Drosophila melanogaster: one gene and its partners. The protein of the gene in region 1 purifies or fractionates together with the protein of each later gene. This does not show direct contact. Each region holds a gene or a part of one and is shown on either strand. Other genes may lie near its edges.

Evidence for each region.
Region 2: the proteins of Grip71 (region 1) and dgt3 purify together in Drosophila melanogaster (affinity purification with western blotting, with the first as the bait; one study listed by BioGRID). This does not show direct contact.
Region 3: the proteins of Grip71 (region 1) and dgt6 purify together in Drosophila melanogaster (affinity purification with western blotting, with the first as the bait; 2 studies listed by BioGRID). This does not show direct contact.

Annotation. Positions count from the first base shown.
Region 1 is NT_033779.5:18,706,910-18,712,280, forward strand, and holds Grip71 (Grip71), read left to right. Parts: upstream 1-1,936; 5' UTR 1,937-2,028; coding exon 2,029-2,218; intron 2,219-2,277; coding exon 2,278-2,572; intron 2,573-2,634; coding exon 2,635-3,476; intron 3,477-3,531; coding exon 3,532-4,145; 3' UTR 4,146-4,388; downstream 4,389-5,371. Other genes in the region: Faf2 (Fas-associated factor 2), read right to left, coding at 1-952, 1,207-1,329; Irk3 (inwardly rectifying potassium channel 3), read right to left, coding at 4,428-4,824, 5,095-5,201, 5,280-5,371.
Region 2 is NT_033778.4:20,991,776-20,995,967, reverse strand, and holds dgt3 (dim gamma-tubulin 3), read left to right. Parts: upstream 1-1,586; 5' UTR 1,587-1,644; coding exon 1,645-1,662; intron 1,663-1,713; coding exon 1,714-2,042; intron 2,043-2,104; coding exon 2,105-2,467; intron 2,468-2,528; coding exon 2,529-3,194; intron 3,195-3,253; coding exon 3,254-3,431; intron 3,432-3,495; coding exon 3,496-3,639; 3' UTR 3,640-3,692; downstream 3,693-4,192. Other genes in the region: Prosalpha3 (proteasome alpha3 subunit), read right to left, coding at 1-522, 660-865, 975-977. UniProt on the Drosophila melanogaster protein: As part of the augmin complex, plays a role in centrosome-independent generation of spindle microtubules. The complex is required for mitotic spindle assembly through its involvement in localizing gamma-tubulin to spindle microtubules.
Region 3 is NT_033777.3:29,128,084-29,132,920, reverse strand, and holds dgt6 (dim gamma-tubulin 6), read left to right. Parts: upstream 1-1,948; 5' UTR 1,949-2,029; coding exon 2,030-2,891; intron 2,892-2,957; coding exon 2,958-3,392; intron 3,393-3,453; coding exon 3,454-3,974; intron 3,975-4,040; coding exon 4,041-4,187; 3' UTR 4,188-4,337; downstream 4,338-4,837. Other genes in the region: Vha100-1 (vacuolar H[+] ATPase 100kD subunit 1), read right to left, coding at 417-545, 619-795, 1,096-1,212.

The DNA.
Region 1 (5,371 bases):
TGGCCAGCTCGATCTTTTGCCGGGCAATCTCCTCCTTGCGAAGCTCGACATCGCGTCGAGCTTGTTCCACAGCCTCCTCCGCCTGCCGGACGGCATCCCGCTCCCTTTGCCGCTGACGCTCCTTCTCCTCGTCCGCAAGCAAACTCTGCTCGTATGCCTCGTCCTGCTGTCTTCTTAAAGTCTGTGTAAAATTCCGCTCTAAGCGATCTGCACGCGCTTGACTCAGCCACACCTCGTTGGCGTTCGTCACCGACTGGAGGCGACGGAGCAGCTCTTCGGGCGTGCAATCCCCCTCGAAACGTCCGACGATCATCATGCGATTTGCTCGAAGGCTGATCATCACCATCGTTGGGTAGCTGCGCACCGTTATCGACTGCATCACCCGGTAGCCCTCCGGCGTGGCTACGTCGCATCCCCATAACAGGGTGTGTGTGTTAATGTAGTCAATGACCGATCTCGCCGACAGTGTGTTGCGGCAGAAGGATTCCACATCTGGGTTCTTGGCGGGATCCTTGTGCAGGTAAACGATTAGAAAACGCAGCTCCTGCTTAGCATCGTTAAGGGCCTGGGCATATGTGCCCTGATAGAAGACCGGGTGCTCGGGATACCTTTCGTAGTATTCCCTAATAAACTTCATCACATCCCCCAGTGGATCTGTCACCAAGCGGGCTTCGTTTCCTCCGCCCAGGTTCACAAACGCACTGACGATGCTCGTCAGCGTGGAGTAGAAGTACTGAAACACGAAGTTAATCACATATCCAATGATGCCGGTGAAGCTGCGGGGAACGGGGCCACTGGGCACCCGGCTAACCGTCCTTCCGCCAGGCATGTTGGCGGAAAACACCTGCTGCAGGAAGCGATCGTTAAGGACAGCGGGCGCTCGGACATCTGTAGAGGCGGCGAACATGGTCGGACGCCCCTCGCGGATATTTAGCTGCTCCTGGAAGGCCACCTGCATATGTAGATATGAAAAAGGGTAAATAAGCTGGTATTTAGTATAGCAGGGCGCCCAACGCAAAATTGTAAAAAACAAATTTAAAAAGAATTTAGAATAAAATGATTACTATCTTTAGTCGTCAGATAATATATATGTACAAAACTTGTTGGTAGTAGTATTCTTGCAGCCACCACTGTATGCAAGACTGCAAGACTACGTGACCCTGTTATTTTGACATTCACTGTGTGGGCATATAAACATATGCATACCTCGAGATCCCATTGGTGTCTGATTAGGACGTCGCGGCAGACGTTCATATCCTCGATGCCGGTGAGATCCTGGAACTGGAGGACCTTCTCCGTCTGTTCGTTGGTCAGTCCATCAGCTTCCATCTTTCCTGCAGTTGAAGGCCTCCGTTCCCAGTTGTTATCGTTGTTGTTTGCTTTTACGCAGTGCGTGCGTGTGTGTGCTTGTGTGGGTGCCAATGGCCCGTGACTGTCTCCCTGGTGTTGTTTTTGTTGTAAGCTGGCCTTTGTCCAGTGGCTCAGCCGCTGCGGCGGGGGACGGGGGATGAGTAGCGTGGTCACTAAATGCTTCTACTGGTCGCCAGGAGTCATTTCAACGCACGCCAAATTGCCGCACTACAACGTCTTTAACATTTCTCGGCAATTTATTTCTTTTTCGCAGGTGATTGCTTGCTCTTCTTCTTGCCTTTCTGCCAATGATCCGATGAATTTGGTTGTGAATGACTAGTGTGACCGCGCAGGCCGACGCGTTCTCACTGCGAAATCCAGCGGCAAACAAACAATTTGTGTTCGCTTTTTAAAAAATTATTTTTATTATTTATTTGATCTCTATGCCTGGCGTGGTAAAACACAGAAAAAGATTAAAAGCAATATTGATATATAATTCAAAGGTGTTAGATAAGGACAATGTGTAGTGGAATCAGCATATTTGTCTAACATCACTTGGAAAATCGACGGACGAGCTTTGGAATTTTCAGGTAATAAAGCAGCGGGCACATTCTTAAATCAGTCCGAACAAAAGCACTCAAATTTGAATTGTGTAAATATCTGAAGAAATAAATCAAAATGCATGTTATTTCCACGTCTAAAAAAACCGTGCTCTCCGACTTCGCGGATCTGGAGACAAAGTCTGAGTATGTGCACCAGAACGCAGAGCCCACGGACTTTCAGTTCAACGGCCAACGCCGGGTCTTCGTGGAGGTGGATAAAATGGCGGGCTTGGCCGTGATGCGAATAAAGGAGAAGGATGGCAAGAGTAAGAGAGAGGTGCGGATCCCCAAATCCCACGTATGTAATTAACTTCCCATTTCACAGCGCCCGAGATTCAACGAGTCCGTAAGCTCACCATCGACAATGCCTTCTGTGTGGCGTGCGCCAAGCAATCCCTGGAAGAGATCGCTGTGGGTCAGAGCGGTTGTGTTAAGCTATACAACTTTCGGACGGCACAGCTCATCCATCGTTTTCCGGCGGACCCGCAAAGGAGTACTGTCCTCTACATGGACTACAACAACACGGACGAGTATATAGCCGCCGTGCGCGATGGCGGGGACATCAGTATCTTGGGTACCAAGACCAAACAGAAGACCAACACCTTCACCATAGATGGCGAGTAAGTTAAAGGCTTGCTTGTTAAAGGATTGCATTGATCTTTCGCTATCCTGTTAATATCAGCTCTACTCTTGTGCGCTTTCATCCGAGCAAACGCTTTCATCTGTCGATCGCTTCCTATAAAGGAGCCGTGACTGTCTATGATGTGCAGGGAATGCGAAAGATTTTTCATGCCAGCGAAGCCCACAGTGCTCCCTGCCGGGACATCAGTATGTGCACATCCCAACCGGCACTGCTGGTCAGCGTGGGCTACGATTGCAAGATAAATATCTTCGACATTCGACGAAATCGTGCTCAGGCCTCTACGGATCGCTTGACCTACTCGCATCCACTATCGACGGTGGCGCTGAGTGAATGTGGCACTTATCTTTGTGCTGGAAACCTTAAGGGCGAATTAATAGCCTATGATATGAGGAGTACAAAGGCTCCGTTGGCCGTGAGGAGTGTACATGATGCGGCTGTAACACGTGTAGCCTTTGTGCCCGTGCCAAGTGGGGATAACCAGCAGAACGGTAGCCTCAACAGCTCCGAAAATGCAACTGGTTTGGCGACCGAAGCTCCTCGTGTAGAGCGTGCGCCCAGCGATGAGTTGCGTAAATCGATTGCCGCTAATTTGTTGAGCACCCAAAACCAGCTGACCAGTCTTGGTTACGGGGTGTCAACACCTACCATAGTTCGCCGGGATTCCTTTTGCGAGTTCCTGGATGCCCAAGGTCCAAGAGCTGTGGATCGCATGTCGACCCGCTTGGGCGCCTCTTACAGAGATAGTTTTGACTGGGAGACGCTCAACCGAAAACCGCAACCTTATGAAACTGCCAATCGTCAAAGTCTTTGTCCTCCAGTGGCGTCTGGCCCAAGCTCGGTGGATAACTCCGTCAACAGCTCCACCACGGAGTCACTGCAACGCAAGTTACTGTAGAGATTATTATTTTTTAGTTATAATAAGCTTATTACTTGCAGAGACCTTAAGCGGCCCACTGAAGGATCGGAGCAACATTTCCGGAGACGGAAAGCTGATGAAGATTGCCGAGACGGACGAGCTCTGCGAGGAGCAGTCTGCCAACATTTCCGTGGCCAGCAGCACAGGAGGCGGCAGCGACAAAGAGAATCCCCCGCCGGTTGACGCAGAAATGAAACGCCGTCTGCGCTTGCTTTCGGCCAGTCGAAACAGTACCCCGCACCATGCTAACATCACACCACAATCCTCAAATCCTCTCTTGAAGCCTCAGCAGTTGCTGGCCAAATCGTCAAGCGGACTTTCCGCCCAAATGGATGCAGATTGGCGCAAGGAATTCAGCGAGCTAAGAGATTTTGTAGACCAGCGCTGCGAGAAGGTGGAGCGCGAATTGGAGTACGTTACCTTCTCTAATCAGCGGCTATTGGCTAATAAGATGACCAACTACATGGACCAGCAGGTGGAAAACACAAGGGAGATCCGGGACGCCCTGGCTTTACTACTTCAAGGAGATAGCTTCATGCGCGAGTTCTCGCGCCTACAAAATGAAAACGAAATGTTAAAGGCCAAATTGAAGTTTTACCAGGAGCAGGAGCAAACTGAATCATGCGGAGAGTAAAACGAGGGGGAGACATGTTAATAATTAATTGAAACATTGTTATTATTGTATTTAATTTATTGTTATTATCAACTATTAGTAACATTTTTCAAAATAGGTTTTGGCGTCTCATGAGTTTTATGTAAATTTTAATTCGTTAATCGATCCATTTAGATATTTTACAAATGTTTTAGAATATTTACCTCGGTCTATAAAATGTTTTTGAATTCGTTATTAATATAGTGCTGCCAAAAGTGTAATGCGATAAGAAAGCTTCTTAAAATGTATTTTTTAAAACCCTTTTCACTTTCTGTACTCTAGCTTTAAGTGATCATTTTTCGGATTCGTCATGGGCATGTCCACCGATATGGTCCTGTTGAAGTTCTCGTAGTCGACAATGTAGCGCTCGTTTTGGGCGTCGTAATGGATGATATTGACGAACCGCTGGCCCCAGAAAATCTCCCTTGGCAGATAGGACGTCTTGGCCTCCGTCATCTGCGCTGTGGCAGGCGAAGTGCCCACAATGGACACATACAACTCAAATTGGGCAGCATTGAAGAGTTTCGCTGTGGTGAACTGAGACAACGGGCTGGTCTCATCGATGACATGGCACACCACATCGGGCCAGAGAATAATCTGCTCCCCATTCCCCTCCAGCTTCAGTTCCACGTGACTTTTTATAGTCTCACCCTCGCGCGTGCTGTCAGAGAAATAGATAAGATGGGGGTTCGTATTAATTGCTTGTTTTATCCAGCAGCAAGTACTATCTGAATGGAAGGTCAGTTCATTTATGACTTTCCTTATGACTGGGTCAATATTTCAGGAGTCAAGTGTGATTAAATTGTTTCTATAGCATTTATAAATATTGAAAAAAAAACGTTGAAGATCAAGACAAAATAGGAAAATATACCCAAATTAACCGCGGATTCTTAAGTTCTATGATTTTCCCTAAAATGCGACTGTGACTCACCGTTTGTCCACGATGATGTAGACTCGTATCTTGGACTCGATGGACTGCTGCTCGCGGGGATCACAGACGCGGAAGAGCAAACAAAGCCTGCCGTCGCGATAACAGATCTACGTGAGATAATCGCTAAAGGATGGATCCGAATGGTTGGGTGTACTCCTCTCGCCCAGTGGAGGCATTTTACTTACCACCGCCTTATCGCTGAACTTCAGCTTGGTCAGCTGCCTCGCCGGCCGTGCGGTCTTGGCATAGATCACGCTCACCATACAGCCCTCGATTA
Region 2 (4,192 bases), on another chromosome or scaffold:
GTGTACTTCTCGATCAGCTTCTCCACATCGGGTTTCTCCAGGACACTGTATACGGTCTTATTGTCCACACGCTGCAGCGTGGCCATCTCGACCTTCTCCGGGGTCAGCTTGGTGGTGTCCAGGGTCATGCTCAGTACCTTGATGGCCAAATCCTTGGCGTCCGCCAGCGTCAGCTTCACGTTCTCCTTATCGGCCAGCTCCTGCTTCAGCATGGAGATCGCGGCACCGAAGTTGTTGCCAATACAGGTGGCCTTCCATCCGCCGTAGTTGCCGCTGGGATCCGACTGGTACAGTTGGTAGCCGTACTTGTTGTCCCATCCCATGTAGAGCAGCGAGACGCCGAAGGGACGCTTTCCGCCGTACTGAGTGTACGCCTGTTTGATGTCGCAGAGGTGCGACACCAGCTGCTCGCAGGGAATCACCTCGCCGTAGCTGAACTGGTAACGCTGGGCAATCAGACGCAGTTCTGAGGTCAGCACATTGGCATCGGAGGTGATGCCAGCCACCGAGCAGACCATGTTGCTGAGGGAAAACAAAGAGGCTTGGATAGAGATAGATTCGTAGAGAATGTAGTGGGTAATTAAGATCATGGCCAGTTAAATATATGGCCTGTGACCCTTGAATTCATCGTAGGATATACTACTGAAATTTCAACTCACTCGTTCAGGCGATAGATCTTCTCCGAAGGAATGGCGCTGTCCAGCAATTTGTTTGTGCTGCGGCACTCGGCTGCCAACAGGATGCCGTCCTCGGCGAGGATTCCGAGGCAGGTTCCGGCGTGCGAGATGGCCTCCATGGCGTACTCCACCTGGTACAAACGGCCCTCCGGCGAGAAGATCGTGGTGCGGGAATCATAGCGGCGAGCCTGGGAAAATACACGCAAGTCAATTACTACCACGATTGCTAGCCTTCAATGGTCATCGGCCCAATGGTGGCTCTCAGACCAATACCGGTCTTCTGGGCGCGGTACTTACCATTGCTAAGGAATATACCAATTTACAAGTTTATTTTGCAAAACGAACAGAATTTACTTGTCATTCAGTGTAGGGTTGCCAGACTGCCACACGAAGTGCGTCCAAAGCGGTACCAGGGCTGCAAACTAGATGGCGTTAGGGTGTTTCTATTTACCAGGGGTGGTGTGCACGTTTATCCACATATCGATATAAGGTATTAAAATCATTTTAACAAAGATCAATTTATAAGCCCTTTAAGATTGAGGTGTACTAAAACATAATATTTACTTGAATTAAACTTAAGAACTTGTGTCAAATTTAGAAAAATTGTATCCTTACTTCATAGCAAAAATTTAAAATAATTCATATATAAAATATATATATATAATAAACAGAAATTTATTATATATATATATATATATATATATATATTATATATATTATATATATATATATATATATATATATATATTATATATATTATATATATATATATTTAACAGAAATAGATAAGAGTAAATATTTCATGAAATCGTTGATAGGAAATCAGGAATTTCTACGATTTTTATTAAGCTTAATTATTAAGCACTATTTCCTGTTAATTTTCAAAAGGTACCATCTCTAGTAACGTCTCTGAAACCTTTCGATATAACCGATAAGTAATCAGCTTGTGTTGTCATTTTTTTAAAAGATGGGCGATCTGCTGAGCGTATGTGTGATGATTTAATTAATGATCAGCTTATAATCGCCATGATTGCAGAACTCGGAATTCTTCAAGAAGCTGGGAGTGGACAGCTCGAACCAGTGGATTCTGTACGATGAGCAGATGGAGATGTTCTTCAAGTTCCTGTCCGGGAACATCACGGATGCAAATATCCTCACAGAGCGACAGGTTCTGGAGCGGGAGGAGATGCAGCGGCGGGGCGAGTGGCTAAGTGCTTCGGATCGCGAGCTCAAGCTCCTGCAAATCGAGGCCGAAAGTCCGGGGCTTCTCAACTACAAGCAGCAGGATGTCGACGCCTTGACCATGAGCATTGAGGCGATCGAAGATGCCTCAAGGGATTATGCTACGCTTCTGGAAGATATGATGTAAGGGAAAAACTGTAACCTTCCTCATATATGTTCGATCGATGGTCAATCCACTTTTGCAGGACCACAAAGCACTCGATAACTAAGCACCTAGGCGAGGTGGAGTGCGTCACCGCCGAGTTGCAACTGAGGGAGAAGGATCTGATAGCCGAGTGCCAGTCCAAAGCCAAGCAACTGGAGGAACTGCAGCAGGAGAACTGCCGGCTAAGCGCCGAAGCCAAAAAGGCATTCACCGCCCCACAGTTGCCGCCTCTATTCATGCATCAACTGCCATTGGAGCAGTATTTCCACAAATGCGATTCATTTATGCAATACTTTACTCTGTATGTGAAGGAGAATTTTAAGATCCAGGACTATGATGAGTTCCAGAGCGCGGAGGAAGATCTTGGGCGCGAAAAGGCCAAGCTGGAGGACTTGGAACGTGGGTAAGCACAAAGGTTCTGTGCTAAAAACAATGCACATTAATTGATATGACCGTTTTTACAGCATCCAGTTTTATGCACTATCCTACATAAGAACAAAGGCCAAGGTGAAGGCCACGCAGTGTCTTATTGACCAGTTGGATCTTGGCAAGATTCACTGCCTCAGTTTAACGGACATGGCGCGTGAAATGCACGATCTGCAGCTGCTCAACGACTATCAACTGAGCAATACACACGATACGCTTTTAAACGATCTAACCATTCACATTCAGCAGCACACCCAGCGACGTATTGAGCTGGTTCTCTACGAGAACACTAAACTGAAGTTGGAAAGAGCTGTTCGACGTCATGAAAGCGACAAGAAGCTCACTAAAATCATCTCAGATGCTCTGTCCAATGCGGAATTGCTGTGGATTGCGATCCAACTGGACTGCGACAAGAAGCGCAACTGCCTGGACACTTCGGAGGAGTTGCGCGACCAAGCGCAGGCCACTTGGCAAAGAATCCAGACCATGCGCTCCATTAACGCCAGTTATCAGGGCATTTGTGCCCAGTTTGTGCAGGAGATTGCCAATTTGTTGTCAGCCCACTTGGGACAGAACATAAAGGCAACTGAGGCCAAGGCTTGTCTCTTCGAATACGAAAAGTTCGGTCGCCTGCTGTCTTACTCCTTTCAGAGCATGCTGAACCGAAAGTCGTGTGCTGCTGTTCAGGATCAACTGGCAGAACTGTAAGTTGCAATACTTAACTTTGATACAGATCGTTTAAGCTATTAATATTTTTTTTTAGCAAGCGCTTGGAGCAGACTTTGCGGCCGTTTGTCTATGATTCCCCATTGGAGCAGCCCATGTTTGAGAACGTTCGCTACTTGAGCGCCATATACAATGTCACCCAGCAGCAAACTCGCCTGGATGAGTCAGGGCGTTCCTTGCGAAAAGATTTCCTGGAAAATGTCGTGGGGCGCATTGTAAGTATACTAATTAACTATAAAATCATGGAATATAACATTTTAATGTTGTTTATCCTTTTAGGAGCGGGATAAACTGTATCGCTATAGCGTAGTCCTGTGGATTTGGTTTCTCACTGAGCCGCAGCGCATGATGCATGCAATTGATGAGGTCAAAAAGGCAGCCGCTGCAGTAATTCGTCCAGGTGGTGGTCTGCACCGCAAGTGAACTTAGTTGATTTAGAATCTGGTCAGTAAATAAATGTTAAATTATTCAAAAATAAACATTACGGCGTTGCTAGTCTAATAATAAGTCAATACACTAAATTTAGGGATGCTGTATAATGTGTGTATGTAAAGATTCTTAGGCAGCAACATGATTTACTTTTGCTTACGACTTTGGTAATTGTTTTCCCCCCTTTGAAATGCCTTTTCCCTGGGCTATCAGATTTGGGTTCACTAAACACCGGGCGTATTAAGGCAGCATCGTCTTAAAGCAGTCTACACGAGTGCCACCAAAGAGACGCATTAATTGCTGGCGGCACGCGACGGCGTTTCCAAGCGATTACCATTCAGATTTGGCCAAGGAGCAACAAGTGAGGCCATAAAACCTTGTTCGCCTAACCTAGAGATTCACTTTCCGTGCAGACGAAGTCATTTGCCCGCCGATTTGCAGGACTCTCATTGGCTGCCGGCATTCGGGCTGCAGGACGAGTTTTGCCGAGCAGAGGTCCTTGCGGATATAAAAGGACCAACAGTTGTGGCCACTGGTTCACTCGATT
Region 3 (4,837 bases), on another chromosome or scaffold:
AATATATTTTAGAACCTATTGCCCCATGGCTTTCCTCTGATTGCCCAGGAACGCGACCGAAAGAAACAATAACCATCAACTGATATCAAACGCACATTACGATATATATGTACAAACTCAAACTGAAGGGTAAGAAAGCACACTTCGTTTGCCTTTGGAAGCAGAGAAGGAGGATATACGTGCCGAGTGGGGAGATACGGGGAAATAATTTTAGAGTGTAATTTGGGATAGATTGCTTATGTGACTAGAAGTCGTGGCTGCCACACTTGTGTTGTCGGTTGGGAAATTGGTTATTGCTTAGAAAATTTGGTTAGTTACCGGCCGCTTCAATGGCCGGCATTTGTTAATGGTAAATCGGTAACCGATCGCAGTTTGTTAGCTGATACCCATATGGAGTTACTCATGCCGCAGCTTACCTCATCGAAGAACACTTGGGTTTTGCGCAAAATATGCTTCAGCTCGGTCAGCTCCAGAAAGTTGCGCTTCAGGGCCTCGGCGTTCTGATTCACCTCCCTCAGCTCGTTCTCCAGCTTCTCAAAGGTGGCCTGAGCAGCAGACAAGAAAGCCATATAAGTTCAACAGTGTTTAGCAGAAAACAGGGAGTATGGCGGCGTATACCTCCAGGTCGATCATCTCGCGGGGCTGCGGGGCCTCGGGACTCTCCCCGGTGTCCAACATGGGGATGCCGTCCTTCTTGATCTCCTTCTCCAGGTAACGCAGCTTGCGCTCCATCTCATCGCAGCGGCGCACCTCGTTGACGAACTTCCTCTGGAAAGCGTTGACATCGGGATTGAGCTGCGGATTTCAAAAGATTGGTTTGTTATTGGGGGATCTCAAAGATACTTCATTTGTGCGATCAAGATATAGCACTTATGCCACTATATTTTTCAATTTTATTTAAATGAGGTAACACACGTAGTTATACTATACACTTAGTAGCTGGTGTCACCAGCTTTGCATTTACTTTGCATTCGCGTTAAAGGGGACGTTTCATGGAATACCGAATTCGCTAATGAGGTAAGGGGTATGATTGTGGTTTATGGTTAGTCAGTGCGGCTGCCTCGACCGCAGCTTTATGTAACCCATCCTACTCACATCTCGGAACTGGACCAATCCCAGTTCTCCCAACTCGGAGACGCAGGCGTAGGCCGCCTCGCTCTGCAGGAACAGCTGGCACAGCGCCATTTCCTCGCTGCGGAATAGGGAACCCATTGTGGCAGCCGGATTCCCGATATCTGCGAATGGAGAACAGACACTAAATCAGAATGCATATGTACATATATAGTACACAATGGGCCCATTCAATTGCATGATTCATGGCCAAACTGGGTTTCTTCCTAAGTTTTGCGGCCGTGTCGCATACATATTTTCATGCTGATTTGGTTATCGTTTCGGTGGGCGGACGTTCGCTTGTCCCCCAGATTATTTGTCTGTAATCTATACTATATATGCGCCGAGATTCGATTTCTATACCCCATGCGTATATTGATTTTTCTCCGCCGCGGACAAAAAGAAAGTGCTACGTTGGACCCGGATGCCAAGGTTTTCGGCTCGTTGGGGGTCAGCCAGTGACTGGGCTCGAGCTTTATCCGAAAACTATTTAGTTTGTCAGGGGGTCACTTCGAAATGAACGTCGATTAGTTAATTACCAAGTGCTTAAAAATTAAATATAAATTCGTCCACAAACTCCAGCAACCGACAAATTTCCGAACTATGAATCTAGTGTGACCGTGGCAGGTCATTGGATTTATACCAATCGAGTAACTAGGGAAATAAATTTGTACTTAAAAACAAATATCTGGGAAATATTATAAAAAACATTTAAAAAACACAAATGCTATTCGCAGTTACTATTCCTAGGGAAAATAAATAGATTTATCCCTTTTATATAACATTTTTCGTCAATATAAACAGGCAGTGGGAACGTCTTCATTCAGTTGAATTCAACCACTTGGTAACACTGGGCAGCAACAAAAACAAAGAACTTCAAACTAAACCGCCATATTTTACTTAATTTCTGTGCTAAAATATGGATCGGACCATAATTGCACCGTGGAAGGCCGAAGAGAAGGAGCAGAGCGAGAAGCTCCACAGGAAGCTGCAGGGACTGGCCCTGGTGCACCCCCTGCCGGACGAGCTGCGTAAGCTGATTGCCTGGGACATGTTCCTCAAGCCCAACCAGGTGGCCTTCGTGCATGTGATGCACTACCTCTTCCGTCTGCTGGATCCCGCGGAGTTCAAACGCCGCTTCTTCTGGCCCATCACCGACAAGAAGTCGGAGGCGAACTTTCGCTCCAGCACGGTGGAGTATCTGAAGCATCTGAACGAGAAGCACCAGCTGCATTGGGCCAACATCAAGTCGTATCTGGTGGTGATGCCCGGAGGCATGAGGTTCATCAACTTCCTGCTCGAGTTCGTGGGCTTCGTGATCCAGGAGCTCATCAAGCAGCGCGAGAAGTCACTTGGCTTAGAGGCGGGAACACCAAACGTGAGCGCCAAGGTCATGGCCCGCCAAAATGCCGTGATGAAGGAGTACGCTTCTTCGTATGTGGTCAATCTGGAGGAGAATACGGCCCTGTTGCGGGACAAGACCCAGAAGATCAGACGCCTGATGGCCGATCTGTCTGCAGACATGGGAGTGCCCGAGGAGCAACTGGCGGACGATGGCTTTCTGGATGAGTTCGAGGCCACCGCTGCACTCGGCGTGGAGCGGGTCATTACCCAACCCACCGAAAGGAAATTCGACCTGGAGGCATCTCTGTGCGGTCTCAAGGAGGCCATCGATCTTTTCCAGGTGAAGCAAGCCGAGAACAACCAGAGCAAGGAGGCGGTGGAGAAGGCACTTCGGGGCATGCGAGTGCTGTTCGACTGTGATGCAGTCACAGAAGGAGGTGAGACATCTTTGGTTGCATCCTTGCAGGTCTTTAAATTTAAATGGTTTTTCAATTCCTTCGCAGATTTCTACGATCCTTTGGGCGCATCAAAAATGGATGCGCTCTTAAACGGCTTTAATCGGATCAGCGGCACAATTGCCGAGCAACTGGATGCTAATGACCACTACAACGAATCGAATGCGTTTGTCACCACCGATTTGCAGGCTCTTCGAGTGGAACTTTCACAGTCCGAAGTCCAATTGAACAATTTACTCAAGAAACTAAACGAACCGTCCAAAAAGGACAAGGGAAGTGCCAATGCAAGTGGCTCCGCCAGGGTACAGACGCTTCAGCCGGCCACGCCTCGCTTCGAATCGGTTATCAGCTCCAAATTTGTTTCCACGCCTCCCATCAGAATCGACATGGGCGGCGGTGGCGGTCGCAATGCCCCAGTGCGTCTTGCACTGCAAGATGACTTCAATGGCAAACAGTTTGATGCCTTAAGCAACAGCTTACTCGGTAAGGAGTGAACTAAACCGTTCGCTTAGTGACCCTCATCCTTATGAGTTTTCCTTTTCAGCACCTGCGCCGCCTCGATCAGCACGCAAGCTGAAAGCCCTTGATCAATCGACCGGCATTGACCTTAATGGCACTTTAAACCGATCCAAGATCAACGATCCCATGCAAATGCTGCGCACCATTCACAAAAACACCTCCAAGGTCAAGGCAGCTCCGCAGGCGAATCTCTCCTCCCTGGGCAGCAAGTGGAAGCAAATGCAAGCGTCATTCGGTTTCGATGAGGCGCCGGTGCCAGGAGCAGCAGTGATCTCACCTCAGACCTCACCAACGGATCCCAGCGATCCCTTTACACCCTTGAGTGGTAGCGAGTGCACCCGAATTGAGCGCATTCCGCGCACTTCGGAAAACAACACTTCACTGATCGCCAAGAGCGCTGCGGTTATAAAGGTCCTGGAGGTATCACGGAATGTGCTTAATCTTAGCACCTCGCCATCTGGACGCCTAGATGCACTGGTTCCACATACCGAGAGCCACCAGCAAGATGTCGCGCCACGTCTTCAGCTCAACGACAGAACAATCAATGTAAGTGGGATCAACAATAATACGTGCCTACGAAATATACGAATCTCAAGTTCCTTTTTTTTACAGGACTCACTGCAGCTTGATCCCGATTTCAACATTGAAAACGATAAGAATGCATTCAATGTCTCGCATAAATTCGATTTTGATCAGATTGGTGGTGAGGATGACCTGCAGAACATCAGCGATAGCGTGCTCAAGGATATTATCTTTTAGTCCACGGGAATCGCGAATGGCCAATATTGTTTAGGTAATAGATTTTGTATTCTTTTTCTAATTGGTTATGAGGTTTTTAAACGAAATATACTTTTTACTTTAGTTTTTAATATTACCCATATGAAATTAAAACTAAAATCTTTCAGCTTGAAAGCAATTTTCTTCTTTTAAATACATCTATAAGTATACCAGGCTTTTCGAAATTCGAGTTTCAGGACTTAAGATTATTATTGAAATAAACAACCTTTGAGGCAGTATTAAGGTTTATTATATATATACTTTTAAAAGTCATATCTTATAGCTATTGTTCTTCATTGCGGCTTCAGCGATCTGTTACATCCTTGCAAAATCAGACTTTCTGAAATGAGTGGGTTGAGCGTTCTAGATGAATGAACGGCAAAAGTATGAAACAAATTGTATAAAAATAAAAAAAAATGAGTGAATATAATGATGGAGAAATAAAATAAGAACAAAACTGAAAAGTGTGTCTTCAATGAATTCATTTTTATTAAATTCGAAAATTATAATAATTATCGTTAACTTAAACTTCATGAATGTGAGATATGTACTTTTGTGTCTCTGTATACATGTTATTGTATGGTATTACTTTTGGTCTTTATGGTCCGCGCCTATCACATGTCTAGCCGCAC